3 linked regions of the Pelodiscus sinensis genome follow. The protein of the gene in region 1 interacts with the protein of each later gene in a pairwise test. Links are inferred from orthologs where the notes say so. Each region holds a gene or a part of one and is shown in the gene's direction. Other genes may lie near its edges.

The links. The genes of interacting proteins can lie anywhere in the genome.
Region 2: the proteins of KPNA2 (region 1) and NUP50 interact in binary tests that used the Homo sapiens proteins (3 or more experiments, as listed by UniProt). The two-hybrid records come from large-scale screens. The link is inferred for Pelodiscus sinensis from reciprocal best matches to the Homo sapiens genes KPNA2 and NUP50.
Region 3: the proteins of KPNA2 (region 1) and NECAB2 interact in binary tests that used the Homo sapiens proteins (3 or more experiments, as listed by UniProt). The two-hybrid records come from large-scale screens. The link is inferred for Pelodiscus sinensis from reciprocal best matches to the Homo sapiens genes KPNA2 and NECAB2.

What each region holds. Positions count from the first base shown.
Region 1 is NC_134730.1:20,963,640-20,973,575, reverse strand, and holds the start of KPNA2 (importin subunit alpha-1), read left to right. Parts: upstream 1-6,171; 5' UTR 6,172-6,326; intron 6,327-7,253; 5' UTR 7,254-7,298; coding exon 7,299-7,373; intron 7,374-7,482; coding exon 7,483-7,620; intron 7,621-8,036; coding exon 8,037-8,125; intron 8,126-8,741; coding exon 8,742-9,010; intron 9,011-9,936.
Region 2 is NC_134711.1:123,431,916-123,441,700, forward strand, and holds the start of NUP50 (nuclear pore complex protein Nup50), read left to right. Parts: upstream 1-5,391; 5' UTR 5,392-5,590; intron 5,591-5,599; exon of another isoform or gene 5,600-5,905; intron 5,906-9,174; 5' UTR 9,175-9,185; coding exon 9,186-9,254; intron 9,255-9,785. UniProt on the Homo sapiens protein: Component of the nuclear pore complex that has a direct role in nuclear protein import. Actively displaces NLSs from importin-alpha, and facilitates disassembly of the importin-alpha:beta-cargo complex and importin recycling.
Region 3 is NC_134722.1:38,259,893-38,269,846, reverse strand, and holds the start of NECAB2 (N-terminal EF-hand calcium-binding protein 2), read left to right. Parts: upstream 1-5,560; 5' UTR 5,561-5,596; coding exon 5,597-5,821; intron 5,822-9,954. UniProt on the Homo sapiens protein: May act as a signaling scaffold protein that senses intracellular calcium.

The sequences.
Region 1 (9,936 bases):
AGATAATTACAAAACAAAACAAAACCCTATATAAAATGTCACCGAGGAACCTTCCTATCTCTCCTACATTGCCTATTGTGTTCATTTTCTGTGTAATATATTCTTCATGATAAGAACCTTGTCTTCTGGTAGGCCTGTGAGCTACCATATGCATCTGTGGCGTTGTAGTAAAAATAATAATCTAATTAAAGTATGTGGTTCAGTGGCTGTGACTCTATCACTGCCTTTAACTGTCTGAAATTTGAACTGTGGTACTGGTCATAGGGTTTAATGTGCTCAAGTTTCAGATGTTATCACAGGGGTTCCAGATGTGTTGGGGAAAATGGAATACTATATAGTCAGTGCTCTAGATCCTTGTAGTTCTTGTGGGGTATTTCAACATATCCAAGGAAGATTAGATGCCAATTATAATTAAAAAAAAAACACAAGAATTTGACTTCTGTTCTAAAAGTTATCCCATATATATATAATCTGTCTTGTATTAAGATTTGGCAATTTCATAAGGCAACTCACAGTGTCTTTATGCTATTGATTTGGTTGATCCTTATTAATTAGCATTCAGAATTAAGTATAGCATACAGACTTGTGTTGATTGATGCTTTTCTTCAAGAGATTAATTTAAAAACAGGTGTCCGTGATAATGTTATCTATATCAGCTGTCTTTGATATTGTGGATCATGAAGTGTTGATGATACACCTATCCTGTGTGAGGTGAGTTTTTTGGCTATTTTGGATGTTTCATACCTATTATGAGAAACAATGTTGAATTATTGACCTTGCTAGGATGGTTAATGACTTTATCACTTCTAGTCTAAATTAGAAGTTCTACATGGGGCTGTACCTTCAATCCTCCCAGAAGGGAAAGCTAGCCTAAAGGGTGGTGGCTGCCCTCTTGTGTATGTATCCTGTCATGAGCAGGATGCTGTAATACTTGTCCTCCATGGACTGCACATTGCTTTTCACATAACTCAGAACAGAACCCTTATGGCTTGAGACCTTTTTTACTAGGGATTTAAGTGACTAGTCGACTATCCAATAAGCATATGCTTATCGGATACAAGTGGGGCTCTTGTTACATTTCAAAAGAAGTGCCATGGGAGCAGGGGGTGAGTGGGGGACCCAAGTAGTCCCCCGTGCGCTCCCTGCTTTTGAAATGTATTGGAGGGGCTCCTGTATGTTTCAAAAGCAGAGCCCGGATGGGGAGCAGGGAGCCAGCAGGGCTCTTGTGCATTTCAAAAGCAGGGAGTGCAGAGCCAGCTGGGGACTAATTTGAATTCCCCATTGGCCTCATGCTTCCGGAGGGGCTTCCGCCTTTGAAATGTAACAAGAGACAAATGCAAAGTGCTCCACTAAGGAAGGACCAGTCAGTTTCACACATACAGAATGGGAAGCAACTGTCTAGGAAGGAGTACGGCAAAAAAGGATCTAGGGGTTATAGTGGACCACAAGCTGAATATGAGTGTGATGCTGTTGCAAAAAATGTGATGCTGTTGCAAAAAAAAGCAAATGTGATTCTGGGATGTATTAACAGGTGTGTTGTGAGCAAGACACAAGAAGTCATTCTCCCTCTCTACTCTGCATTGGTTAGGTCTCAGTTGGAGTACAGTATTGTGTTCAGTTCTGGGCACTGCATTTCAAGAAAGATGTGGAGAAATTGGAGAGGATCCAGAGAAGAGCAACAAGAATGATTAAAGGTCTAGAGAACATGACCTATGAAGGAAGGCTGAAAGAATTGGGTTTGTTTAGTTTAGAAACGAGAAGATTGAGGGGGGACATGATAGCAGTTTTCAGGTATCTAAAAGGGTATCATAAGGAGGAGGGAGAAAACTTGTTCATCTTGGCCTCTGAGGATAGAACAAGAAGCAATGGGCTTAAACTGCAGCAAGGGAGGTTTAGGTTAGACATTAGGAAGAAGTTCTTAACTTTCAGGGTGGTCAAATACTGGAATAAATTACCCAGGGAGGTTGTGGAATCCCCATCTCTGGAGATATTTAAGAGTAGGTTAGATAAATGTCTATCAGAGATGGTCTAGGCAGTATTTGGTCCTGCCATGAGGGCAGGGGACTGGACTTGATGACCTCTCAAGGTCCCTTTCAGTCCTAGTATTCTGTGATTCTAAGAGCAGGCAGGGCTCTTGCTACATTTCAAAAGTGGAGGTGCCCTTATCAACTAATCAAATGGACAATGCAAATTGCATCCACCATTCAATTAGCTGATTAATCTAAATTTAACATTCTTACTTTTTACCTGAAACACTATTTTTCACTCTGCACCAAATTGCTGTTGTTTTGATCAGGAAAGCTACTCAACTTGACCTAGAGCTTCTTTGCTACATGACAGTGAGCTGCTGGCAGTGTGGTCTCCCTTCAAATTTGGAATTTTCTCTTTGCTAGATGCTAAATATGCCAAATCTTTTTACTCTTTTGGACATATACTGCAAAGCCTCTACTTTTGAGCTGGCTTTTGTGAGTTTCTGGGGAAGTCTTAGTAAACTAAGGCCTAGTATGTTTTTTATTTGGATTCTGGGGGTTGGAGTAGGTTGATGCTCTTTTGATTTGGTGTTTAGTATGCAAGTAGTGCATCTTCAATCAATTTACTTTAAATCCCAGTAAAGAGCAGCAGGTATTCTTCTTTAGGTCCAGTGCCTCCTTTGGTTTGGAGTCTGAGGGTCTTGGTTTTGCCAAGAGCAAGGAGGGAGGCACAAAGGGTATGGCTTTGGGAATGTATACACAATGCTGCCGCAGTCCTAGGCCAGGCTGGCTGACACAGGCTTGGGCTGAGGGGCTAAACATTGCTATGCAGACAGTCAGGCTCAAGGAGGAGTCTGGGCTCCATCCTGAATCTGAATATCTACCACCTATTTTACATCCCAAGTCAGCTGACACAGGCCAGCCATAGGTATTTAATTGTTGTTGTGCACATGTGCCCTACAATGTAATATGAGCCCAGGTTTAACAGAACTCAAGTTAGCAGATCCTCAGTTTGTTAAACTTGGGCTTGAGTATTTACACTCATCTGAAACCACAGGTAAGGAATGGTTGAACCCTGGGTCCCAATCTGCAGCTCCAGCATCTACACTGCATTATGTAAATCAGTGTCCAATCATCCGTATCCCAGACCTCCTATCGTCTTCCCAAAATGTGGGTGTTTCTTTGTTGTGAAGTTTCAGAAAATCTGACAGACACTAAACTTGACTGTCCAGAGGACAAAGGAAGTTAGACCATGAGAGTGTGGGATACCTGATTGCCACAGAAAGAGTCCAATGGGCTTGAACCCTAGGTCTTGGCTAGGACGCCCAGTTTTTTATCGGAAAGTATAGTGGAAAAGGGAACCTGACAGTGACCATTCAGATCTGCTGACTGGACACCCAAAGTCCAATTACAGTGGTTGGGGGAGACACCAGATCAACACTCAAAGTCCTTATTCAGCTGGGTGGGTGATGATCTGATGTTTCCCCCAGCATCAGGGGGCTGCAGCTCCCTCGTGACCTGGGTGGGATGGGAGTAGGGGGCAGAAGAGGGAAAGAGCAAAGAGTGGAGGGGACAGCAAGAAAGAGGACCAAATGGGATTGGACCTCAAGAAAGAGGTGAGATAGGGGCAGGTACCTCAAGAGAAGAGAGGATGGAGGAGGTTCTGGCATGCCTGCTGTAGTGTCTGGTTTTTAAATATTACAAAGTTGCTACCTTAGTCCTGGCTTCACTGAGCCTCAGCTGCTCCACCCCAATGTGGTCCTGAGTATGAACCCTCAAATAGCGTGATTTGTGTGTAGACAGAAAATACTTGAGGCTGAGTTTGAACCCTGGGCTTACAGTGCTGTATACCAGTGGTTCCCAATCTTTTTTATACCATAGCTCGGCAAACCGCTAACATTTTATTTGAATATTTGCACACTCATTATGTGAATAATGAATATTCAAATATGCAATAAAATGCTGCTGGTCTGCCAAAAGTTTGTGAATGGGTATGCTAGTCCGCATTATAAAAAGCCCAAGCCCCCAGAACTCCTCAGTGCCAGCCCTAACACCTAGAGGCCCCCACCCCTCCACTACTCCCCCAAACCAGACACTGATCCCAGAATCCCCTGCACCCAACCGCCCCCCCCCCCCCCCGTGCCAGCTTCCTGCTCTCAGAGTCCCCAGTGCCAGTCCCCATCTCAAATGCCGCAGTGCCAGTCCCCCCTTAGAGCCCTCCATCACCAGACTCCCCAGTGCCAGCCTCCTGTTCCGGAGCTCCACTGCACCCAATCCTGCTGGGCCTCCCACACCCCGAGACCCCCAGTATTAGCTTCACCCTCAGAGCCCCCCCATGCCAGCCCCCTGCCTCTTAGAGCCCCCCCCCCAGCACCAACCGTGCCCCTGGACCTTCCAGTGCCTGCTTCGCCCCCCGCCCTGAGCTGCCTCCTCGCTTCCAGCTGAGCACTGCTGCCCAGGTTGTGGCTGCTCTAAGCGTGCCGTGCTAGGCTCCGCGTGGCCCTCCCACTGCACAGTGAACTGATCTTCTGCAGCTGGGGGAGACCTCTCAACAGCTGTGGTGTGAGGGGAGGCCCTGGGTGGTGTACCTAAGTCCCCACCCCCAGAGCTTCCCTGGCTCACCATTGGTCTGTGGACCGACGGTTGGGAACCACTGCTGTATACAGTTCTGCATAGCTAAAGCATGCAGTAGATTTTGGTGACCAGGGGTTTGGTCATGCTATAAGGCAGAGGTTAATGTTACCATATGTGAACGTTCAAAAAAGAGAACACTCCTGAGAGAGAGTGTATCTGTATCAGTAGCTACCAACTCATTACGGCTACGGCTACATTGGCAAGATTTTGCACAAATACTTTGAATGCAAGAGTTTTTGCGTTAAAGTATTTGCGCAAGAGAGCATCTACGCTGGCATGTGCTTTTGTGCAAGAGATGTGCTTTTGCGCAAAAGCATCTGTGCCAGTGTAGATGCTCTCTTGCGCAAGAAAGCTCTGATGGCCATTTAGCCATCGGACTTTCTTGAGCAAGAAATTCATGTTGCCTGTCTACACTGGCCTCTTGCGCAAGAACAGTTGCACAAGAGGGCTTATTCCTGAGTGGGAGCATCATAATTCTTGCGCAAGAAGCCCTGATTTCACACATTAGAATGTCAGTGTTCTTGCGCAAGAACTCCCCGCCAGCGTAGACAGGCAGCAAGTTTTTGCGCAAAAGCACCCACTTTTGCACAAAATCATGCCAATGTAGACACAGTCATGGTGTATTAGTATAGTGTAGATACAGATACACTCCCTCTCAGGAGTGTCCTTTTTGGTGTCCTTTTTTGAAAGTTCAAACATGGTTAACCCTAGTAGAGATGGGGAACCTTTTTTGGGTCAAGGGCTGCTGGCCCACAGAAAAAATCAGTTGGGACTGCACACAAGAGAGAAGCAAAAGAACAAAAACAAAGAAACAAAAAAGCATAAAACCCTCACTAACATGGCCCACAACTGAGGAAGACACTTCCCACATTCCCCTTGCACACCAGAGGCTAGGGGAGCCCAGCCTAGTAGATTTTGTGTGCTTCAGCCCTGCAGTGGGACAGCAGCACGGTGGAAGGGGGTCAGGGGGAAACTGGAGCGCAAGCAAGGGCTCATCAGTACTAAGGGGTGTGGGAGGACTGAGCCTTGGGAGCTGGATCCAGGCAAGCCAGGGCACAGGGCCATATCCAGTTCCTGGGCCTGAGGTTCCCCACCCCTGCTATAGGATGTGACCCTGCAGGTGTAAAGGGGGGGAGGTAAGAGCAGAGCAATGATTTCCTCCTTCAGGCGTCACTCAACCTCCTTGCTACTGAAAGCAGATCGTTTGGACCCTTGAAGTCCACATAAGAACTGACCCTGCGGGGACAACAAATCCCAGCATCCCATGCTCCACAGTCCTTCGAGCAGACAAGGACCCGGCCGAGCATTGCATGCTGGGAACTGTAGTCTCTTTCGGGCTTCTGGCTGCTAGGTGGCGCCTTGCGTGCTGGGGGGATCGGTATTCTTGGAGGCGCGAGCCGCGCGTTTCTACGCTCTGTAGCGCGTTTCTACGCTCTGTGACGTGCAATCAGACCTCTCCATGATCCCGGCGGAGTTCTCGTGAGATTCCCCACCCCTCTCCCCCGCCGCCTCGCGAGAAGAGCTTGCTTTTCAAACGGACCCATGAGAATGTTGCTTTGGCTCGAACTGGCCAATCGGAGAGCGAAGACGCGGGAAATTTAAATCCCGCCACGGGCGGAGTCAAGGCAAAAGGGGCGGAGGCGGCGGCAACGTGTGCGCTGGTGCTTGGCCTGGTCGAGTCAGAGGCTGCGCCGCAGGGACGAGCAGCGATCGCTGGTGCAGGTGCGCGCGCGGCGGGGGGAAGGTGTCTCGTGCGCTGAATTGGGAGGCAGTGGGGGGGGGAGGTTAAAGAAAAGGGGGAGCTGAGGGGCTCTAGGGCGTGTGTTGGAGCGGTGGGAGTGGGGGGGGCAGGGCTGTGTGTGCTTGTGAGGGGGAGATTCTGGGGCTGTGTGGGGGGATGGGCTGGAGTTATCGAGGGTGAAATGCGTTGGGGGTTTCGTATGGGTTGCACAGATAGTCGGGTGGGGGACCGTTTCCCCCCCCCCCCTTTGCTCATTGCAGGTTACTAAAGCGATGGGCGATTCCTAGCCCGCCACTCTCCTAAGGAAGGCACTGGCTGGGTTGCTGGCTTATTTTAATTCGCCTAATATATTCTTCAGGGTGCGACTGTGGTTGCTTCGTGGTGTTGGTTTGGGGCTTGGTTTAGCCTCCACACGGAGCGGAGATCTGTACCCCGTTATAAATGAAGCGGCTGCGCTACGCTTGGGGTGTGTCTGCAAAATGGCTCTCTCCCTTTAAAAGGCCATTGTCAAAGTGAAATCTAGTCAGTTCCGTAAAGGGAATCGAAATTTTAACCCAGGGAGCTGTAGATCCTGTAGCAAATCTCTTCTGTTTTGTTGGGGGGAGGGGCGGAAGCTTCCTTGTCACTGTGCCTGAATGATCAGTGGTGTTTGCAGAAGTAATTAATGTGATTATACGTTGATAGCTGCAGAAAACCTAAAATGTATAATTTTTATTTGTGGTAAACTTACGTATCACTTGTAACAATAAAAAATGGTTGTCTCATTTGAAATGAGGCAATGCTCCTTGTTTGCACATTATTCCACCTCAGGTCTGGACATCCCTATTTCTAACTCCCATCTTGATTTCAAATGCATATCTTTCTCTAAAATCTAAGTAAGTTAGATTTGAGTTTAATATGTATTTCAGGTCTCTCTCTTCTGTTGATATTGCCTGAGTCTGACTACTATAAAAATGTCTACCAATGAGAATGCTTGTGCAGCAGTTGCTCGTCTGAACAGGTTCAAGAATAAAGGAAAAGACACTACAGTGAGTATCTTTTTTTTTAACTGGAGTCTGTGCTCATCAGTGTTTAAGCATAATTTAGCCCTTTAAAAAAGAAAAGAGTTCCTCATGACGGCATATCTGCCTTTCTCAGGAAATGAGGCGGCGGCGCATTGAAGTCAATGTAGAGTTGAGGAAAGCTAAGAAAGATGATCAGATGCTTAAAAGAAGAAATGTCAGCATTCTCCCAGATGATGCTACTTCACCTCTTCAAGAAAATCGAAACAATCAGGTAACTAAATCTCCCAGCTTCATCAGTGGATGTGTTACAATGGATGTCTGTGGTACCATATAATTGTTACCAATTATAACAGAGTACATAGTGCCAAATCCCTGCTTGCATAGCCTCAGACTGCAGGCTTTGTCTACAGTTGGGACATGGCTTTAAACACTGTCTATGATAATACTAACTGGTTGCAATAAAATGAATTAAAATTCATGTTGTCACACCTAATAACTGTCTTTTCTAGGCTAGACAAAATTATGGCTGATAAGGATTCAGAATCCCATTATAATTGGACAATGCTCCATTTTTAATTTAAGTGCCTTCTTTTAATAGTCTGCCTTGTGGACTGCTGAGAGAGCTTTTGCTTTACTATACAGACACCTTTTTCCCAACATAGTCTTAAGTTTCTGTTTCTCATGCAGGCCACTGCACACTGGTCTGTTGAAGAAATTGTCAAAGGAATTAACAGTAACAACTTGGAGCTGCAGTTGCAGGCAACTCAGGCTGCCAGGTAAGAACTTTCGTGATCGGATTTGCTGGGAATTAGCTGATTTCCTCCCCCTCCCCCCCCATCAGAGCACAAGTTTATAGCAAATACTTGTTAAAACCTAGTTCTGTGTATAGAAACCAGCAATATTTTAATCTGCTCTCTGAAGTAAATGTTCTTGGAATTGACTTTAGTCAGCATGGAGACTAGGGCCAAACTGAATTATCACTTAGCATCAGTATACCCTTGAATAATCTAAGGTGTGGCCTGGTGCACACTAATTATGCCACTGATTCTTAGGTGTGACATAGAGGTGCTGCTCTCTGTACATTACAAGATCTCTCTTGAGCAGTTCAGATGCATTTGTATTGTTGCAGCACCATAAAGCATTTCACTTAAGTTACTCAACTGAAAACCTCTTAAGGAAAAATTTCCTTAAGCAATTTTAACTCTTTAAAGCTTCCTAGCTAGCTAATGTTCCAAGTGATCGGTAGCTTATCTGAACTTCTCAGTGCATTGTGCTACTTCCCCTTTTGAATTTTTTTCTTACTTTAAAAAATAGTTCTCAAGCTTTGCTGGAATCTACCCTAAAGATTTTAGTGGACAAAATATAACTCCCTTATTTTTTTTCCTTCCTTAGGAAACTCCTGTCCAGAGAGAAGCAACCTCCAATAGATCATATAATCCGGGCTGGCTTGATACCAAAATTTGTTGCCTTTTTGGGTAGAACAGACTGTAGCCCTATTCAATTTGAATCGGCTTGGGCGCTTACCAACATTGCCTCTGGCACATCAGAGCAAACTAAGGCTGTAGTGGATGGTGGGGCTATACCAGCCTTTATATCTCTGTTGGCTTCACCTCACACTCACATCAGTGAACAGGCCGTGTGGGCTTTAGGAAATATTGCAGGTATATCCATGTAGAGCTTGATCATTGTTTTCAGCCCTACTTCCTCAATGCAAGGGGAAGAGAGCCAATTGGGGACAGACTTTCAACTGAGGAGCTGTTGTGTGCAATATGCCTGACTATAATGCAAAGCTTGTAAATTCATACATAGCAAGAGTAAAATAGTGATTCAGATGAACACTGGGACAATTATTTTAGTACTTTAATCACAGAAATTGTTTAAAATTGCTTGGATTAGACAGCGGGTTTCTGGGGTACCTCCCTATTCCTTTTGTGTAATCTCAACCTTAATTGAGGTTGAAGTAACTTCTTTTGATGCCTAAAATCTAAATCCTTCAACTAGCCAGAGTGGTAGATAGGGCTGTTGGCTCTCTGCTGTATGAGGTTAAAAATTCCAAAGCGCTTCATGACCAGCATAAAACACAATCAAGAATCTTTAACAGTCTTTGTTCATGGATGGTCTATGGTAGCACTTCAACAGCATTAAGTTCACTCTGATTTTCATGCAAAATCATGGTGCCATTTCTAGGATGTTAAACTTAGATTAATCAGCTAATTGAATAGTCAATGCAATTTGCATTGACTATTCAATTAGTTGATAAGAATGCCTCTCACCTTTGAAGTGAACAACTGCCCTGGGGCTGTTGCTACACTTCAAAGGTAAAAGTGCTGTGGGGGATTCTCCAGCTGGCCCTGGGCTGCATATAGCACTTCAGAGTGGCAGCACTGTGTAGAGACAATGTTCTGGCCCTGGGCTCCAAGTGGCACTGCTGCTTTGAAGTACCCCTGCTGCCTCTTTCTGATAAGAGGCAGCAAGGGGGGAGGGAAGTGATCAGTCAACTATCTGATAAGCATTTGATTATCGGATAATTGACTAGTTCACATTAGGAATGTTAAATGTCGGTTAATTGAATAGTGGAGTAACCTCC
Region 2 (9,785 bases), on another chromosome or scaffold:
GCTGACAGTCTGGTATTCTAGGTAAAATCCAAATTAATATTGATCTGGTCATGTGGCTGACCCTTTGGAGATCAGAAGAACATTTTGTATAGTGAATAATGTTTTAAATAACTCCTTCCCTTACTGGACCTCTTTGCAGATAGGGAGCTGGAGAACTTGGAATTCAATAAAGGGGACTGTGTGAATTCTTTTTAGTTTCCAGATAGCCAGTGTGAGGGAACAGGAGCCCAGTTTGTGACTGGTTTGTGAATTTAACTACAAAGTTAGTCATTAGTTTTGGGAGAATCTGTTCTCATTTTGCAGCCTGCCCTTACTTTGGCATTTTCAGTGTGGGCTACTCTAGACACCTCAGGTCACAGAGTGGACCTGATAACAGTGTTCAAATATCTCAAAGGCTGTTCTGAAGAAGACAGTGTTGAATTGTTTTTCCATGTCCTCTGAAGGTACAAGAAGAAATAATGGGTTTAATCAGCAGCAAAGAAGATTTAGGTTAGATAGTAAGAAAAGCTTTCTAACTATAAAGGCAGTTAAGCCCTGAATAGGTTGAGAAGAGCATTTCATCACCTCCTATCACTGGAGATTTTTAAAAACGAGTTGGACAAACACCTGTCAGGGATGGTTTAGGTTGACTTGGTCCTGTCACAGTGCAGGGGGCTGGAATGATAACTTCTCAAGCTCTTGTCCAGCCCTACATTTCTATGATTCTATGCCACAGCTTCACTCATCTTAAATTTGAACTATATTCTTTAACTCTTTCATTCACACAATTTTATGGGTTATATATTGATCTCTTAACGCAATACAAAAATTGGTGCGACTTAGCTGAAAAGTGTAATAGAGGAACATTTCTGCACTTAGCACCAATAAATACACTACCACATTACTGTCATCTGCTTGGTTACAGATTCCTTGACCAGTTAGAGCATTTTTCAGAGGTACCCTCTCCAGATCTTTCCTTCAGAAAGTCTCTCTGCTTCCTCTTTCCATTCATCAGCAAGGCTCCCATCTTGCTCTCACAGACATTATGCAAAACGCAGAAAACACTTATCACAAAAGGCATATGTTGCTCATCAGTCTCCAATCTTGTCAGGAGGCAACTTTCCTTCCATATTCCAATGTACACTTCAATGTCATTCTGCAGTTGATGTATATTTGAGCATCTCTTTTGTCTTGTCCAAATGCCCAGTAAAAGCAGATAAGCAAAGGGGAAGCTAGGTCTCCCAGAATGACAAAAGACATCATAACTCTATTAATGCCTATAGTGGTCTAGGGAGCAAAAATTCCCTGGACTGATTCCAAAAAAAAAAAAAAAAAAAAGCCTAAGTTTCTAAAGATCACCTCACATTAACATAAGTGAACCTTCCTTGTCAATCAGCCAGGTCTTGAGGCACTATGAAGAAATATACCTGCCTGCTGAGAAAGTCTTTAGCCTGATATGGGGGCAAAGAATAGCCAAAGATGGCCATCAATAGTTCCATTACAGTTTGGGACCCTCCCATCTGTCCAAAAACAAACTAACAACCCCTCTGCCAAAACCCGCTATCAAGAACTTCCCATGTATTGCCAACCTTTATTACTCAGCACAGCAGCATCCTCTGAATAGCACAACAAATATCCATATCAATTGACCCATCAGCTTTTCAATCAACACTAAATTATTTAGCCAATTGTTAGCAATAAAGGATGGCAAGCTTACAGAGAGTGATAGACATGCATCTCTTCATACTGAGTATAATGCTCATGAAGGTGTTCTATCAGTGCAATCCTGGCACAAGTTCTGCACAGATCTCCAGGAAAGTAGCTTTCTGCAATATGAACTCATGTAAACATGGCTGATCATTGCATTATCTTGTCACACCAGTCTCTGCCAATTGACTAAACCTAGAAGCAGCACTATACTGAATAAAGCTGCTCCAGATAAATGCCCTGCAGACCTAATTGCTTGAGTTTGTCCTCCTGTTCTTCCTGTACCTGAAGCCATATTGCTGCAACATCCAAAGCTGTCTGAAGTAAGTTCAACTGAGCAATAGCCACTACATGTGCATTATCCTGTTCATATAAGTCATTGCCATAATCTCAGGACTCAGAGGGTACGAGAGTACAGGCTTTTGTCGACAGAAGTTTTGTCGACAGATACTGTCGACAAAGAGCGTCTAGCCTACATCCAGTTCTGTCGAAACAGCAAGCTGCTTTGTCGACATGACAGTGTAGATGAAAGGACAGTGTAGATGCAATAACGCCTTCTGTTGACAGAACTCTGTTGACAAAAGGCGTTATTCCTCGTAGAATGAGGTGTACAGCTGTTGACAAAACTGTCAACAGAACTCAACAGCAGTGTAGACACATGTATAGTTTTGTCGACAAAAGCCCACTTTTGTCAACAAAACCCTGTAGTCTAGACACACCCAGTGTGTCCTTGGTATATGGGGGCCTTTGTCTGTTAGTACTCCCTCGAGGCATGATGGTGAGCCACACCAATCTCACTTGATCACCATTATGTCTCCATACCCAAGTCTGCAACCCTTACTGAACAAACATGACTTGGCCACAGTGATCCACGCTCTTGTTATATCCCGACTGGATTACTGTAATGCACTTTATGTAGGGCTGCCTCTAAAGAGCCTTCAGAAACTTCAACTGGTCCAGAATGTGGCTGCTTGAGTTTTAACTAACACTAGTTATACAGAGCACATTATGACAGTGCTTCAGCAGCTGCACTGGCTTCCAGTATGTTTCCAGGCACAATTTAAGGTTTTAGTTATGACCTATAAAGCCTTAAATGAGTAGGGTCCAGGGTATCTGAAGGACCATCTTCTCCCATATGAACCAGCCTGGGGACTGAGGTCAGCTGGGGAGGCTGCGCTTCGTGTTCCCCCACTTGTGGAGATAAGATTAACATCTACGAGGAACAGGACATTTTTAGCTTTTGCTCCCAGGCTGTGGAATTCTCTTCCTCGGGATATTCGCATGGCGCCAATGCTAGTGTTGTTTCAGCGTCACGCTAAAGCCACCCTTTTTACTCATGCTTTTATTAATGTTTGAGTCTGTATGTGTATTCCTCCTCTCTATAGCTACGTCTAGACTGGCATGATTTTGCGGAAATAATTTTAACAGAAAAGTTTTTCCATTAAAAGTATTTCCGCAAAAGAGCATCTAGATTGGCACGGATGCTTTTGCGTGCCAATCTAGATGCGCTTTTGCGCAAGAAAACTCCAATGGCCATTTTAGCCATCAGGCTTTCTTGTGCAAAAAATTAAGGTGCCTGTCTACACTAGCCCTCTTGCGCAAAAAATTAAGGTGCCTGTCTACACTGGCCCTCTTGCGCAAGAGGGCTTATCCCTGAGCGGGAGCGTCGAAATATTTGCGCAAGAAGCACTGATTTTGTACTTTACAAAGTCAGTGCTCTTGCGCAAATTCAAGCGGCCAGTGTAGACAGCTGGCAAGTTTTTGCGCGAAAGTGACTGAAAATAAGCAGCAGAACGGCTCTTACGCAAGAGGGAGTTTTTGCGCAAGAAGGAGCAGTATAGACTGCTCTTTCTTGTGTAAAAGCCCCTTGCGCAAAATGGCAGCTTATTAGGTATGCAAATGAGGCACGGCGATATTCATCATCATGCCTCATTTGCATATGTTATAGCACAAGAGAGCACAATGTAGATGTAGCCTCACTGTAGATGCTATAATTCTTCTATCAACTTAATTTACGCTTTTTGAAGAGGTGTATTAACTCCAGCAAGTTCTCTACCAATTACTGCTGTCCTGCGTTTATGGTGATCATCACTGTCAAGAAGAGTGCATACATTCCAGGATGCAAAATGTAGTTTCTGTTTAGTCATTGATTTTCTTTTGTGATCACAAAACTGGATATCCAGTCAGTCATGGCTAACTGACAGGAATCAACTTGAACAAGCTGTGTTTAGGGTTTGTTTTCTCTCCCTCTCTTCTTTTAAAGAAAGCAACGCTATCCCTAAATAGGGCGGCTTTGCCATCTGGACAGGATACAGAAGCTGCTGTTGTTCCAGTTCAGCAGCCAGATGACCATCACACCCGAGCCACCTATGTGCAGGTTTATGGCTAGATGCTTCCAGTGGTGTCCGCCACCTGCATCCAAATGTCACTTGCTCATCACCATAGAACTTTTGTCAACAAGAGGTAAATCTTTAGTGTCAAGAGATATACCATCACACATGAATGGATTTAAGTGAGACTGGCTTGTGGGTTCTAACACCACTCTCTCATCTCATACCGATCATTGTACACAGGCACAGGAACTGCAACATGCGCACTGGAAGGAGAGAGTGCATGTTTCAGATCAGAGTTGCCTTCTCCTATACAGATGTGACTTAAAAAGGCTTAGTGAGCTCTGTCTGTCTCTGTTTAAAATCAGAGTTTCCCTTCTCCTTGGTACTGTCTGTGGGTCCATGGCACCTTATTCCATATTATTCAGCACAAACCCTCAAGATCACTTCACAGAGGCCTTCCTCAGTAAAAGCTTTACCAGCATTAAAACACACATTGTCAGCATTACATATCAAAATGCACAATGTGTATAGCCTCAAAATCAAATCCTAGTACGTTATCAAAAAGCATTTTCTTTACTGTGTCCAGCTATAAATTTTGGTGATTCTCAATGAAAACATTTTTTCAGCTTGTGTGCAGAAAGTGAAATTGATGTTTACCAACATTTCATTGATAAAAATATAACTCCTCCCAACCCTGTCTATACTACAGGACCTGGATGAGACCCTCCAAAGTTATTCAGACTCCACAACTGGCACATCCCGAGTATAATATTTGACCCAGTTAAGTGGAGAGCCCTAAGCAGCAGTAAAGGAGCCACAGTAGCCAGACAGAGAAGGAGCTCTGTAAACAGACAATCCCTGCCTTGATCTAATCTGCATGGAAGTGACTGAGCAGTGAGTCACCAGTGGCTACGGGCAGGCAGGGCTGATGTGGCTGCTTTTAGTAGGGCATCCATGGGGCCCCCGTATATACCCACAGCTGTCACCCCACTCCCAGAAACACACATCCTGGCAATTGAAATTCAGGGCCTCTCAAGTCATCGGGGCAACCTTCAGAACAAACTTTCCTTAGTGCTTTTTACCCCTCTGATACTTTGTTAGTGCTTGTCGTCTTGGTAGCCTGTGCCCGTCACGGGACATCAGCGAGACAAGGCGAATGAGATAAAATATATTTTATTGGACCAACTTCTGCAGCTGCGAGCCTGATTATCAGAGCCCCTGGGTCACCACACCCTGCTCCCTCCCTCTGCTCCCCCGCCCCCCGCGCAAGCTGGGGGAGTGTCCCTAGGGCGCTCTCTATAGGCCAGCAGGCTGCTTGAGACACGTGACCCAAATTCGAACGCGACCTAACCCCGCCCCCTCCCTTCCCCGACCGGCTCAGTGGGACGGGCGGACCGGGAGACGCCCAGCGCATTGGCTGGCGGTGGCACGCGACCAGCATTCCAACGGCCGGGCGCGAGTCACTTTCGGGAATCTCCGCCCCCCACCCCCTTTCTCTACTGCGTTTGCGCCGCCATTCCGGCCTGGCTGCTGCCCGCCGGCCGGCAACAAGAAGTCGGGCTCAGGCTGGGGTGAGTGCGCATGCGCCGGGGGAGGCCGGGCGCCGGGACGGTTCTCGACGGGTTTCCCTCCCGTGTTTCAACGAGCGAGTTCCGCGGCGGTACCACAGTAAAATGGCCGCGGGAGGAAGCCGAGTGGGGGGAAGGCCCTGATCGGAGCGCGAAGGGGACTTCCTGTGTCGGGGGGTGGGCGAGAGCGCTCGTGGCCCTGCGACTCAGACTCCGCCTCCTCCGGAGCCTCGGCCCCGCAGCGCTGCGAGAGGCGCCACCGTCCGCTCCCCGCCGCCCGCCCCGCCTGACTGCTGGGAACGGGAAGCGACGAGAGAGGTAGCGGCCCCGCGGAGGCGCCCCCCTCTCGCCGGCGCTGCCCCCCCCGCCCCCTCTCGCCGGCGCTGCCCCCCCCGCCCCCTCTCGCCGGCGCTGCCCCCCCCGCCCCCTCTCGCCGGCGCTGCCCGGGCCTGGGGGCGGAGGACGCGCCCCTTTGCCGGTACCTGCCCCTGTCCTGGTCAGCGCCCCCCTCCCCGGCAGCGCGGCGCGCGCCCATCACGCTCTTCCCGGGCCTGGAGTTGCCCGGGGGGGGGGGGGGGAAGAGACACTTGCAGCGCGCGCCTCTCAGTAACGTGCAACCCTAATCGGCCCCCTCCCCCCGCCGCCTTGGCCTGTAACGCCGCAGTGGCAGGGTGGCTGCTGGCCCCGCGATGCCGGGGATGGAAAGACTCCTGCTGCACAGACCTGACGGGGGGGGGGGTGGGAAGAAATCTGCTGTTACTTTTCTATCCTGCTGGTTGCAGAGAAACAGTGTTGCAGCTTAACCTCCTTCATCAGGAGTCTATTTCATTACGTATTTTAATGTGCACAGGAAGTAAATTTCAGGCAAGCTAATGCTATTACTATCAATCTTCTTTTGAACAGTGAATCTTTAATAGGTCTCACTTGTTTGATGCCCAGAGATCTATTAGCAAACCATCAGTAAGCTCAAGATATGAAGGCAAGAGGGGGTTTATGTAGAGAGGGTTTTCTTAATAGTGGAACTTCTGCAGGGAGGAGGGGAGGTAGAGATGTCCTGACTGGTGCACTTCTCCCTTTGAAATGTACATGAGACACAGACAGCTCTTGTACATTTCTCAAAGGGAGAGGCACTGCAGGATAGCCTGTGTCTTCCTTATCGACTAGTTGATGGAAATCGCAACAGCTACTTGATTAAATCTAATTTTAATATCCCTAGATGTGTTCATATAGAATAGGAATATGGTATAATTAAGACATCAAGAAGTGTATCATTTAAAAAAAATATATACTTGTCCTTGAAGGAGTTGAGCTCCACCATCCTCTTATCAAAAGCAAGGTAGTTTTGATGATGGTAAATTGAAGTGGTACATTAGTCTCACTTGCTTTTGTACTGTGAAATATTTGACAAACTGCAAAATGACATCCTAGTCATTTTTCAGTATGACAGTCTTATAGAAATTTCACTTAATTGTAGAAAGTGTACAGTTTCCCATGAGGTTGAATCATGTTGAGATATTGAAATTTGAGATTCGCAGAAAGTTGAGATGTTGAGTTAAAGAATACTCTAAAACTTTACTCCACACACTGCATTAAATGCCTAAGTTCTTACAGGTAATTAATGTTCCTCTAATCTTTTCCATCTATGTACAGAATTTTGTGTGTATCAAGGCATGTGTGAATGTGCACCACCAACAAACAAAAAGCTCTAGCCAGCTGTCCAGCATTTAATCTGAGAGGCTGCACAAGTGCACTTCTTACAGCAGTGGTCTCCAACCTTTTTACACCCCAGATCACTTTTTAAATATCAGAACAAGCCGTGGTCTGCCGCCCCATCCTTCAAGACCTCACCCCTTCCTTGAAGCCCTACCCTCTCTATTCTCCTCCTCTCAGTCACTTGCTATCCCCAGCCCTTATACAGTCTACGCTGCTGCTCTTTTTTGGTACTTCTGTAGGAAGAGATTTTTCCAACATGTGGCCTGTCTAGACTGGACCAAGTGTCATAAAAAAACCTTTCGGAAGCCCCCTTATTCCTCGTGGAACGAGGAATACATGGGTTACCGAAAGAGTACGTTTGCTCTTCTACTAAAAAAGGTGGAAGAACAAACGTGTCCTTGAATGCGGAGGAGTTTTTCTAGCCATACCCCCACTGGGTGGAGACAGGATGTGGGCTCTGGGATGGGAATGAGGGATTTGGGTGTGGAAAGGGGTAAGTGGTGTAAGCTCTGGGAGGAATTTGGATGCAGGAGGAGGACAGCTCCCAGTATGCACCTCCTCTGGGGAGTCTTCCCCATCCTGCAAGTTCTCAGCACATCATAGACCTGGGGGAGGGAAGCAGGAAGCTGGCACTACCTCCATTGTCACTGGAGGTAGGTAGTGGGGCTTCTGAGGAGTGGGGCTCCCAGAATCAACGGGTTGGTGACCACGGACTTACAGGGAACACTGCAGGCAACCTATCTCAAACTTAATTTTTTAAATGAGCCTTCCAATTGTTCATTTTAAATTACTTTTAACTAAATCAGATGTCACAATATAACCAATACCAGAAATTTACATCAGTTTCAGACCCATCTAAATTAATTTTTAGATGTTCTTCTAAAGATTGGTTTAAATCTCAAAATTAATTGTCCAAATTAAATTTATGAATCAAGCCAAGGAGAATCGAGAATGAATTCATGAACTCTGGTGTAATGGTGCTGTAACTTTTTTGAAGCTTCTTGGTAATTTAATTGTTTATAAAAATGTTTTAATATTTGAAAAACTTTTAGCCTCAACAATAGAACCGTAAATGTTTAGATCTTATTGTAACTCCCATCTCTAACCTTTTAAAAAAGCCCCAAGTCACCACAACACTCCTTCCTATATAAATAGTATATAATTCTATAGGGTTTTTTTAGTTTACAGTTAAATCTATCAACAATTTTGTCAGGGTATAATATAGGCAAAATAGTTTAATTTGTTGGCGTAAGTATACATTTTCAGAACATCTTGTGCTAAATTGGAGTGTAGAAGCTTTCAGCTATTAGATGCCTGGCATACCGTATAAGATTCTTACACTGCAGTGAAGACCAATAAAGTGATTGTTAAGGTGAAATATGAACAGGTTATTTTCCCTCTCCCAGTACATTTCAGAAGTCACTAAGTGTCATGCTGCCTTACTACAGTTTGGTGTTTGAAACAAAGTGCAAGTTTCCCAACTTCCTAAATGTTTCCGCAGTTTGGTTTCAAAAGGGCAACATATTTGACTCTTCAGTAGTTATTTTTAGCTTAAAATTCTACAAGTTTTCGAGAGTGTGCACTTCAGATGCAATTAGAGGTTCTTACACATGTAAAAGCAATGTTACACACAATGTCATAGTAATTCATAAACTTAGTGTCAAATAGTAACTCCTGCACCTTGTGTGATACAATATGCTGTAAATTGAGCCTCCAGTGTGCATAAGTCTTCATTCATATTTCCAGTTTTATGTGATTTCTATAAACCCTTTTTATATTAACACAAAATAAAGATCGGACTAATTTTTGGTTTCTCTTTAAAATCAGTTTGATGCTCTTAATAGAGATTGCTGATTACTGAAATTCTTGCACAGGTGTGGGAAAAATGGCAAAGAGAATTGCAGAGAAGGAGTTGACTGACAGGAATTGGGATCAAGAGGATGAAGCTGAGGAGGTAAAGTTTTGTTTTTGTTTTTTTGCATTTCCAAGCAAGAAAATAAAATGACTTGGACAAAACAAATAGTGAGGTCTTTTCTCTGAAGTAAAGAACAAGCATCTGTAAGATGTACACTAATACTGTAAAACTGGATAAACATTAAGAAAGTCAAGATCAAGTTTGAAAAATTATGAGTAGTAAAAGGATTGACTCACCACTGGCGTGCGCCCTTCTGCAGTTAGATATAGCAGTTCTTTTCTCAACTAATTCCCGCTGTTCTAGCCCTGGTCTTTCCTTGTGGCTTTGTTCTTCAGCCATTTCATATCTTTATTCCACTCTTCTAGGGTATGAGTCCAACAAACAACAGTCCAGGGTCCTTTCAAAACATCTTCAGCCTGTAACTGTGGATCCCATGGTCTTAGATCTTAATTGTTCTTATGCCTTTCTGTGAGGCCTCACATCACTTTCTATAGCAGCTGTTAGGAGAACCCAGGCTCTCCCACTACATTGGTTCCAGTTCAGACTCTGTAGCAGCCAAAATCTGTTCCT
Region 3 (9,954 bases), on another chromosome or scaffold:
AGGGAAGGAACGAACCCACCAACCAACCTGAACTGGGCTTCAGCAGGGGGTTTTATTAACCTTAAGGCGGGAAAAGAAGTATGAGGGCTGAGTGCATAGTAATGTTGGGTGCAAAAGGGGCTGAGTGCAATTCTGAGCAGGGTGCACAGCTCCTAGGGACGTGTGCAAAGAAACACGTAAGCACCGAGTGCAAATCTGTGGTGAGTGGAAAACAAGGCGGGAAACCTTTGGCGGGAAACCCATCTTGACAGGAATCTAAAATGGCATCCCCACAGACTCCATTTTGAAAGAATAGCTAAACATTAAAGCCCAATCATACTTATCATACTTTTAGGTATAACACCCTGCCCCCAAGCTCTCATTGGCCTGGGGGTGGGAAAGCATGCGAAGCCTCCTCCTGTCCTGTGAGGAACGCGCTGCACTTTGAAGTAGGGCAGAGGAAACTTTGTGCGCTTCTCCAGCCTCCTGGCTCTAATTAACCTGGGGCTGGGGGAGCGTGTGAAGCTTCTTCCTGCCCTGCTAGGGGCATGGGTGCTTAGTGGGAAGGAGGTGCAATGGAGCCCACCCACCCTCAGACCAATCATGGTCTGTGGGTGGGGAAGCCTGGAAGCATCTGGCCCCGCACTCTTAAAAAATGTTTGAAGTGCCCCCAGTCAAAAATTATTGCTCACCACTGGGTTATACTATGTGTGCTTGAGCGACGAGGAGTCCTGTGGCACCTTAGAGACTAACTAAAGTGTAGGAGCATAAGCTTTTGTGGGCAAAGACCCTCTTCGTCAGATGCATGTCAAATGTGTGCTTGGTTAGTGCAATAATAGGAAAGTTAAATAATTAAAAATAAAATGTTAGCAAACCCAAAATGGAGCCAAAACTATAGCTTGTGAATGTATGTTTGCTGGCCTGGATCCCTCCATATCAGTACCCAGGAGTTCAGGGCCCTGCTAGGTAAGGAACATGAAAACCAAAATGGCCATTGATCAATAGGCTAACCTAAGATACTTGTAGGAGCACAGAAGGCATAGCTATATTTTGGTGTTTGCTGCCTTTGGTATACTGCAAGTCCTGCAGTCTCATTATTGACTGCAATAGCTAGAGGATTCCGCAAGAGGGGAACAGCTATTAAAAGTCTCCATGAGGATTTAGAGTTGGCTGGCATAAGTTCAGGGTCCATCCGATTGAAATTAGTTCTGTGTATCTTGCTGGTTCTGCCTAGGCCTGTAATTAACATTTGCAAATTTCAATGAAATTCATGCTGGCTACAGGATGCTGGTCTGTTGAAAAATGTTACCCTGCTTTTTATTCTACTATATTTCCAATTAAGTGGTACTCTGTATCCATTAAGCTTTCAAAGCAACTGGGAGCTGTCAATAATATCACTCTCTGCTCTGGTGAAAAAATGGAAAAATCTCTCTGCATATTGGTATCTCAAGAGAAAACAAACTGCTTCCTTGTTAAAGTGCCAGGTATGGTAAAACAAGCGAAATGTACCGTTAATAGCTAGGCATTAGGGCAGTTTGAGTTAGAGTTCATTTGCCATTTTATATTCTTCTGACAACAGTACGAAGAAATCACTGCCTAAGGTTTCAAAGAGAATGCATATGTAGCCACATACCAATGCTGACTTTTATGGGAGCTATTTGATTAACTCTCTCATGGCCCATTGGGAAATGTAGCTGTCTTGTGTCTAATTTCACTCTGAATTATCTGCATTTTGCCATTTAGCCACCAGTTACATATTTCCCTCCTAAATTCAATGCTCCCATGAGCATTGTATGTGAAAAATACATTGTCCACCACCTAAATTTAGCTGCCCCATGGAAATTGCCAATGTTTTTCTAGTGTCACTTCATATTACCAAAACATTTTTTCTAGCATGTTATGCTGGAAGGCAGTGTTATTTTGCCACATGTTGTATACAGAACCCAAAGTTTCCAGTGTGAATGAATTCTCATAACAAACTGCTAGGAAAAGGCACTGGAAAGACATTATTTGTAAATGTATTCAGCGAACAATTCTTAATAACAAATAAATGCGAGATCATCATGAGCTGAAAATGGAAAATAGGATAACTAACTGAATTACTCACATATGCATTTAGCAAAGATGGCATTTTTAAGGAATGGCTAAAGGGCAAAGATAAACATATGAATATTTGGAGCAAGTAAATACCATTGAGAAAGTGGCATAATTTAGTGAACGGGGGTATAATTAGGTATATAGAGAAGTTTATGGTATTTATCACTACTGCACAATCTGCTGAGCTATGGAATAATCTCTCAAGAGAAGTGTTGCCTCTCTTGACATACTTTAAAACTACTGATTTAGAAAAAGTACACTGTGGAACAATTGCCCACTAATAAGGAAGACTGGCTTGACCAAACTGATCTTTTCCAGCTCCAAATTCTTTAATCCACTCAAAATTCCAACCAGAATGGGCAACATGGCCAGTCAAATTCCATCCCACAGCTATTTTCTAAGGGAGATAGCTACTGCTTTGGGAAAATCCAGGAGATGGACCGGATATCACTGAAGTCCCTTTTACACCTTGCTCAAAGAAAGGATAAGATATGAACCTTATGTCTTCTCTTATGGTTTCTTTGCTGTAAGGCTTATGGTTATGTGGAACGTAAGTGGTGCATAGGTATCATGCTAGCCCCATCAGAGGAATGAATTTCACTGTAAATGAGCACAGCCCAGTTAGCATATTGCAGGCAGTTTCAATAAACCAGATTTTTTGTCATTAATTTTGAGTTGCTGGGCAAAAAATAAATTCTGCAGCCAAAGTACTGCCTAACTGAGGGGGTACTGAGGATGAAAGTAGTATCCCACTGCCAGTCTTTATGTGTGCTCTATTTATAACACATTTCCGGAGCCCACTGCTATTATATGCTTATTCCAGCAGAGAGAACTGAGCTCCTCGTCTCTTGTCTTCAAGCAGCAGCTGAACACCTACGCTTTTGAAATGAAACAATAAAAAAGTTTCTTCCTGGTTCACTTGATCAAAGAAAAGATGAAGCAAGAAGTAGACTTCTGTATGTCTACACAGGGGATTTGCTCTGGAGTGGCTGCTTTAGTGTAACAGTCCCTAGTGTAGACAAACAACACAGTCCAATGCATGGGCTCCCATTATAAAAATACTAAATGATAAGAGAGAGAAAGGAAGAGCAATTAATGTGCAGGTTGGATCAGGCCTTTTGTGCAGGAGTATCTTGGATTATAACATACAGTGACTCTCAAAGTGGGCGGAGGTGCAGAGATCAGCACAGAACCTTAGCAATGAAATTTTCATGAAGGAGCCCGGACAGCTTCAATCTATGTCCATGGCAGCCTGCTCTTAGTATAAGGGCCAGGGCAACACTGAGGACCACCAAATAAAAGGAGGCTGGCTAGCCAAGAATCCTCAAAGGAAGCTTGGAGTGTTCATATTAGCCTAGTACTCCGGAGCCAGTACCCTAGGGCAGAGATTCTGGAATTACTACCAATGTTCTGTATAGTACTTCTTTGGTGATTTATGGAAAAGTGGCTGGTTATATGCTGTTGGGTGGCTTCTTTCCTTCCAGGTACAAAGTTGCATTAATGCTGTGAAAAATTTCTTCCATGTAAATGCAATTGCAATAGCTGCCGCAAATGTTTGCTCTAAGGGTATGTCTACGCTAGCCTCCTAGTTCGATCTAGGGAGGCTAATGAGGGCAACCAAAATTGCAAACGAGTGCAGGATTTAAATATCCCGTGCTTCATTAGCATGTTCCCGGGTGGTCGCCATTTTAGAAATTGACTAGCCCGAAGTAACTGCCCGCGTCTACACGCAGCAGTGAAACGGGATTCTGAATAAAAGCCCTAAATCGAATTAGCTCGTATTCCTCCTGCAATGAGGTTTACCAGCTAATTCGATTTAGGGCTTTAATTCGGAATCCTGTTTCACTGCCGCGTGTAGATGCGGGCAGTTACTTTGGCTAGGCGATTTCTAAAATGGCGACCACCTGGGAACATGCTAATGAAGCACGGGATATTTAAATTCCACGCTTCGTTTGGGATTTTGATTGCCCTCATTAGCCTCCCTAGATCGAACTAGGGGGTTAGTGTAGACATACCCTAAGTGGTCCCTGCATACACAGCCCAGAGGGGAGGTGATCAATGGCATGCAAAACCATGATTTTTTTCTATTAAGAGTGGGTGCATTAAAATGCTTTGGAACTCCCCAGTCATAGAGGATCATGGAACAAAGCCTAGTTCTGTCTCAACTCAGCCAACTACAAGCAAAATATCTTGTAACACGAAAGGAGGTAGCCTTGAGGACACCATTAATATTTAAAACATATATGCATATTTATATGATTTATGTATATCTATAATGATGAATCATTTTGAAATAGCACACTGACATACTAATAGCAAAATAAAACAAAGTTCACTGGAATTAACATCAAAACACAGCCTGATCTGCTCTGTGCACTGACCCTAGCAGTACACTTCTAATTAGAGATGACTCCATGAGGTTTACAGTGAGAGAGTCTGGAGCTGCCCTTTGCTGCTTGGGTCAATCTCTTCTCTTAATTTTCTCCATTATTGTCCTTTCAGTTTGTATATTTTTTGTGTGATCAGTCTGTGCTGGTAGGAAGCTGAAGTGGGTTAATGGCCGTCTGGCAAAGGATTTATCTCTTGTTCTGTGTTTGTAAACAGCACAACGTGTCTCTCTTCACAAGCAGCATTATAGGACTAGTAATATTTGTCCAGTTGAGCAAGGCAGGTCGCTTAGCAGCTCTACAAAGAGCCAAGTGAACCCAGCTGGCTGGTTTTGTTAGGGCTTTGTGTCCAGAGGTGGAGGTAGGCTGCATTCTGAGTTGCCCTGCATAAAAGAGTTGAAATTTTTGGTCTGGTAATGATGAAGACAAAGTAGAGGTATTTTTAAAATGCAGCAAATTGTCTCCAACAGCTTGTGGGAGAGAGAGCTCCTAGCTCCTTCAGCAGGGCCACGCAACCCAAATGCGTGTGGTATTGTGATCCTGTGTGCCAGGTCATAGCACCAACCATTCCAGTTTGGGCTGTCAGGACGAGTGGATTCTAACCCTGAGTGTGGCAGAGGACTGGAGGCTAGTGCCTAGGGCTGGAGGCCAGGGCTCTTGCCTTCTCACCCTAGAGGCTGCAGAGGAATGGGAGGGGGCTGGGAGCCAGGGCTGGGAGCCAGGGCTCTTGGGTTCTGGCCCTACAGGAGGCAGAGGAATGGGGGATGGGGTCCAGGGCTGGGAGCCAGGGCTCTTGGGTTCTGGCCCTAGAGGTAGCAGAGGAATGGGGGATGGGGTCCAGGGCTGGGGGCCAGGCTCTTGGGTTCTGGCCCTAGAGGTAGCAGAGGAATGGGGGCTAGTGCCTAGGGCTGGGAGCCTGGGTGCTGAGGAAGGGGCCGAGGGCTGCAGCGCCGACCACCCCGCATAAAGCAGCGTCCCCCACTCTCCCTCCCGGGGGACCCCTGAACCCGGCCCGGCTGCTCCCCCGGGAGTGCGCAGGGAGGGGTTTGCGGGCGAGCCGCGGGCGGCTGTCAGGGTGATGCAGCCTGTGTGGGAGGGGATACCCCGGCTCCAGCATGAGGACTGTGTGAAAGATGTGCGAGCAGGCAGCGCGCTACTGCAGGGAGAGCGTCCACAAGATCCTCCACAAGCAGCAGCCGCAGCTCCGGGGGCTGGACGGGCTGCTCCGCTGGATAGTCACCAAGATGAGCGACAAGAGCATCCTCTCGGAGCGGGAGCTGCCGCTGGAGGGGCAGGCGGCCGCCGGGCAGGGCTTCTGCCCCCCGGAGCAGAGGAAAGGCACCTCGGTCATCCTGGATGTGAGTTCCCGCAGGGCACGGGCAGCAGCGAAGGGGCCCGGGCCGGTGCGAAGAGCCGCAAAGTGGGGGCGCTGCGAGCTGCCCCCGGGCCCCCTTCGCACGGCCCCGCTTCCGGCTCTGCAGCAGCGAGGCCGGGCAGGGAGCAGGTGGGGACCCGGGCGGGGTGGGTCTTGCTGGGGCCGCAAATCTTGCCAGGCTGGGTGCAGCTGGGAGGCGAGCGGCCCCGGCCCTGCGGGCTGAGCGGGAGCTGCTGAGCCCGGGGCAAGGCGGCCGGGTCAGTGGGGCAGCCCTGAGATCTCCATCTCTCCCGCGCCTGTGGCTGCCAGGAGTCGCCACCGAGCAGCCCGGGACAGTGCCCCCGGCCCGGGCTCACTAGGGGCGTTCAGTGCCCGAGCCAGCCTCGGCTTGCGGGGGAGCCGCCTCGAGCGCCTTTCTGCCGTGTCAGTGTCTCCCTCCCCCTTCTGTCGCCGGGACAGTCCCGGCTTTTCCTCCCAGCGTGCCTGCCGACCTGCAAAGAATCTGGTGTGTGGCTCAAAGCTGCAGGGAGAGATGGGAGCCAGAAAGAGTGAAATCGAGGTGGCCCCTCCATTCAGACCAATATGTTAAGGCAAACACCTGCTCTGCAGTTTGAGATTAGATCCATGAGGCTTGTTTGTGCTCTTTTCTGGGCAGGTTCTGGCACTTTTACAACACTGAAACCGAAGAATAGTTCCAGGGTTCCCAAGCATGGATTAAATTGCTTGTTTATCGGTGTGATGGAATTGCACTTCAGTTTTGGGAAATGGACTATCACATCCAATATATTCTTATTGAAAATTTAAAAAAAGCACAATACATGGCGTTTTTTCTGGTACATTTCCTACAGTGAAATTATAGTTTTCAGTTGAGGTGCATATATCTCTGGGGATACACAGAGGGCTTCATTTAGATACTAACCTAGTTTTACAATAGGCTCCAAAAAGCACTAGTAAGATCAGTAGAAACTAAAATTTCATACAATGACTGATTTATACTGCTTTATCTCCTATACAGTGAAATGTAAGGACAATGCTTATATTCCAATTGATTTATTTTATGGTGCAAATGATTATTTTATGGCATAAATGATAAATACAGAAAAGTTGCTTGATGGTGCAGTGACACTTTTTGTACGTTTCTCTGATTTTATAAGTCGTTTTTAAGTGAGGTGAAACTTGGGGGTACACAAGACAAATCAGAGTCCTGAAAGGGATTCAGTAGTTTGGAGAGGCTGGGAGCCACTGCTAAATAGTGGATGTTTTTGAATGTTAAGCCTCACATGAGTTTGATGATTTGGCATTTAAAGGTACATTAAGCATTAGATATTTCAATCTACATGAAATCTGTGTGGCTATGTCTGCACAGCAGCATTATTTAGGAATCACTGATGTTATTCTGAAATAACAATGAGTGTGTCTACACTGCAAGCCATATTTTGAAATAATGGCAAGTCGAAGGATTTCTTACTCCAACTCCTGTAACACTCATTTTATGGGGAGTAAGGGAAGTCAAAGGAAGAGTGTTCTTTCTTTTACTTCCTGCTGGGTAGACAGAACCAAAAGTCCAATTAAAATATTTCTACTTTAGTTACACAATTGATATAGCTCAAGTTGCATAATTGAATTTGGCTTTTACCCTGCTGTGTAGACTTGCCGTATTTGAGATACTTAAATATGAAAGAAAAGTATAGGAGATATTAATTGTAATAAAATCCTTGACAGTAAGGGATACATAGTAAATGAGTTCATTCCAACCTTTGGGGTAGATTTCTTCTCTCAACTAAGCAAAAAATTAGCATATTCTTACATTAAGCAGAAGTTTTTTAAAAAGGGAATTTGTTACAGAATAAAATAACTATTAATCTCCCAAGGCTCAGGCAAGTAAATTTCAGACAGGAATTAAATTTAATTTAGTAATTAAATGAATAACTTGGGGGAAACATAGCCATTCTGTATCAGGCATGAATTCTAGATTCCTTTGAAAAATAAAGGTGATTACACAGATTACCTTTTGCAGTGTTCTTTTCTTGAGAGGTTAGGACATGTTCTCATTATGTGCGTCATGATGCTTGTTAAATATAATTAGGTTTTCTCAAATTTTCTTCTCTGCTGTTCTTATGACTATAATAATCTCAATTTTTAATCATAGAATCCTAGTATAAGAACTTAGGTAATTTAACAATCTTTACATCTCATGTTTATCCATAGTCCTATTTCATACCAGTTAAATAACTTGCACCTCTACAAGTAAACTTTGAAACTTTTCTTAATAGCATTTTCACCAAAAATATAGAACTCTCTGAAGAATAGTGAAACGAAAAATTAAGGACAGGTATATTATGACTTTCACACAGTTGTTTTTAGCACATGCAAGTAGTTTGTGACATTTATGTCAGTATTGTTATGGAATGTGTATTTAATACTTTTTAATATTTTCTGTTAGCTGTTTTAGTAAATTATTTGCATTTAAATGGAATTAAAAGAGAACAGAGTTGGGGGGGGGGGGGGCAGTACAGGCAACTCCTGAAGAAAATATAATGAAAACTGTTATATTATAGTTTCTGATATGGTGGCATGTAATAAATAAAACATACACATCAGTTTTGCAGTCTTCCATCTTTAAAAAAATATAACCATAAACCTGTAGTGATCATAAAAAAATAGCTAGTAGCTAGAGTCTGTTAATATCCCTGAGTCCAAACCAACAATATCTCTTCTATACTAGTCCATAGATTTCCTGACAAATCTTATTGAATCATGCCATAATCCACAACAGGCATTGGCACCTGCAAGAGACAACAAAACTCACTTTATTTGTGATCTAAGCCCAATTCTGGGCTCAAATTGAAAGAGACGATGGGTTTATGAGTTAATTAGTTGTGTCAAATTAATCTTCTTCTGATTGTCTTTGGCCTAAGTAATACAATTAAATGTTGCTCCCAATCTACATTTTAGTGGGCTGCCATTTAGAAATATTTGATGTATAACATCTAATCAACTAATGTGTTTTTGTGGATCTGATTTTTTTCTCTCCATCTACTGAAAATGGTTACCTGTGATACCAGCATAGATGATACAGTCACTCAAACAACAGTATTTTGCCCTGACCAGGTGCCCCATAGGTGGAAAATATTGTCACAGTTTTAAAACACACATTAATGTTAAGTTCCATTAAATGTCCTAATTTTTTTAAAATGGAAAAAGAAGATATTTGATATGAGAAATATAAACTTGTAAAATTTTGCAACCACAGAAAAATGAAACAAATGATAATGCACGCCACATTCATCTGTATCTGAATCATTGTTTTGCTTTTCAGTTAGATCGGCTTTTTTGCATTATCTCTTATGTGTTTGAAAGTAGAATTGGGTGAATTCTACAAAATCATTTCAGCATTTTTTTTTTGTTCTTTAAATGTTTGCTTTATCTTGGTTATTTATAACTATAGCAAATACTTCACCGGAACTTCCACTATCATAGTTTCTTTGCAAGAATCTCCTGAGACAGTTCTCACGCAACAGAGCTTACAATCGAGACAAATTAGACAAAGGATGGGGGAAATGAAATATTATCTCCATTTTACAGATCTGAAACTTAGGGTGCAATGAAATTTTTCAAAAAAAAGTCTGTAGGAGAGCTGGGAATGGAATTTGTGGTTCCCCAGTGCTTTTCTAATGACCTAACCATAAGCTCATCCTTCCTCTCAGTAGTTTATGCCCTTTATGTCCTTGCTTTCCATGAACTTTTATTCTACCAACTGTTTGATAAAAATAAATTTAAGATCACACACTCGGATTCTCATGGAAGAAACTTATTCTCTTTCTAGGAGCATTAGCACCAGAAAGTTCCATTAATTCATGCAGGGAATAAAATATACCATATGACTTATTTGACTAGTCACAACTAAGTAACATAGTTTGAATTCTGAGAAGAAAACTGTAGAATAAATGATATGTGAAAAAATTAATTAAATGTATTTGAATACCAAATCCAAGCAAATCACAACCTGTTCACTGGCAACTAAAAAATCAGATGATTAAAATTGTTTATTGTGGCTTATGAATTAGTCACTCAGCTCAAATGCCTGTTCTGAAACTTACAAAATATCCATGTTAC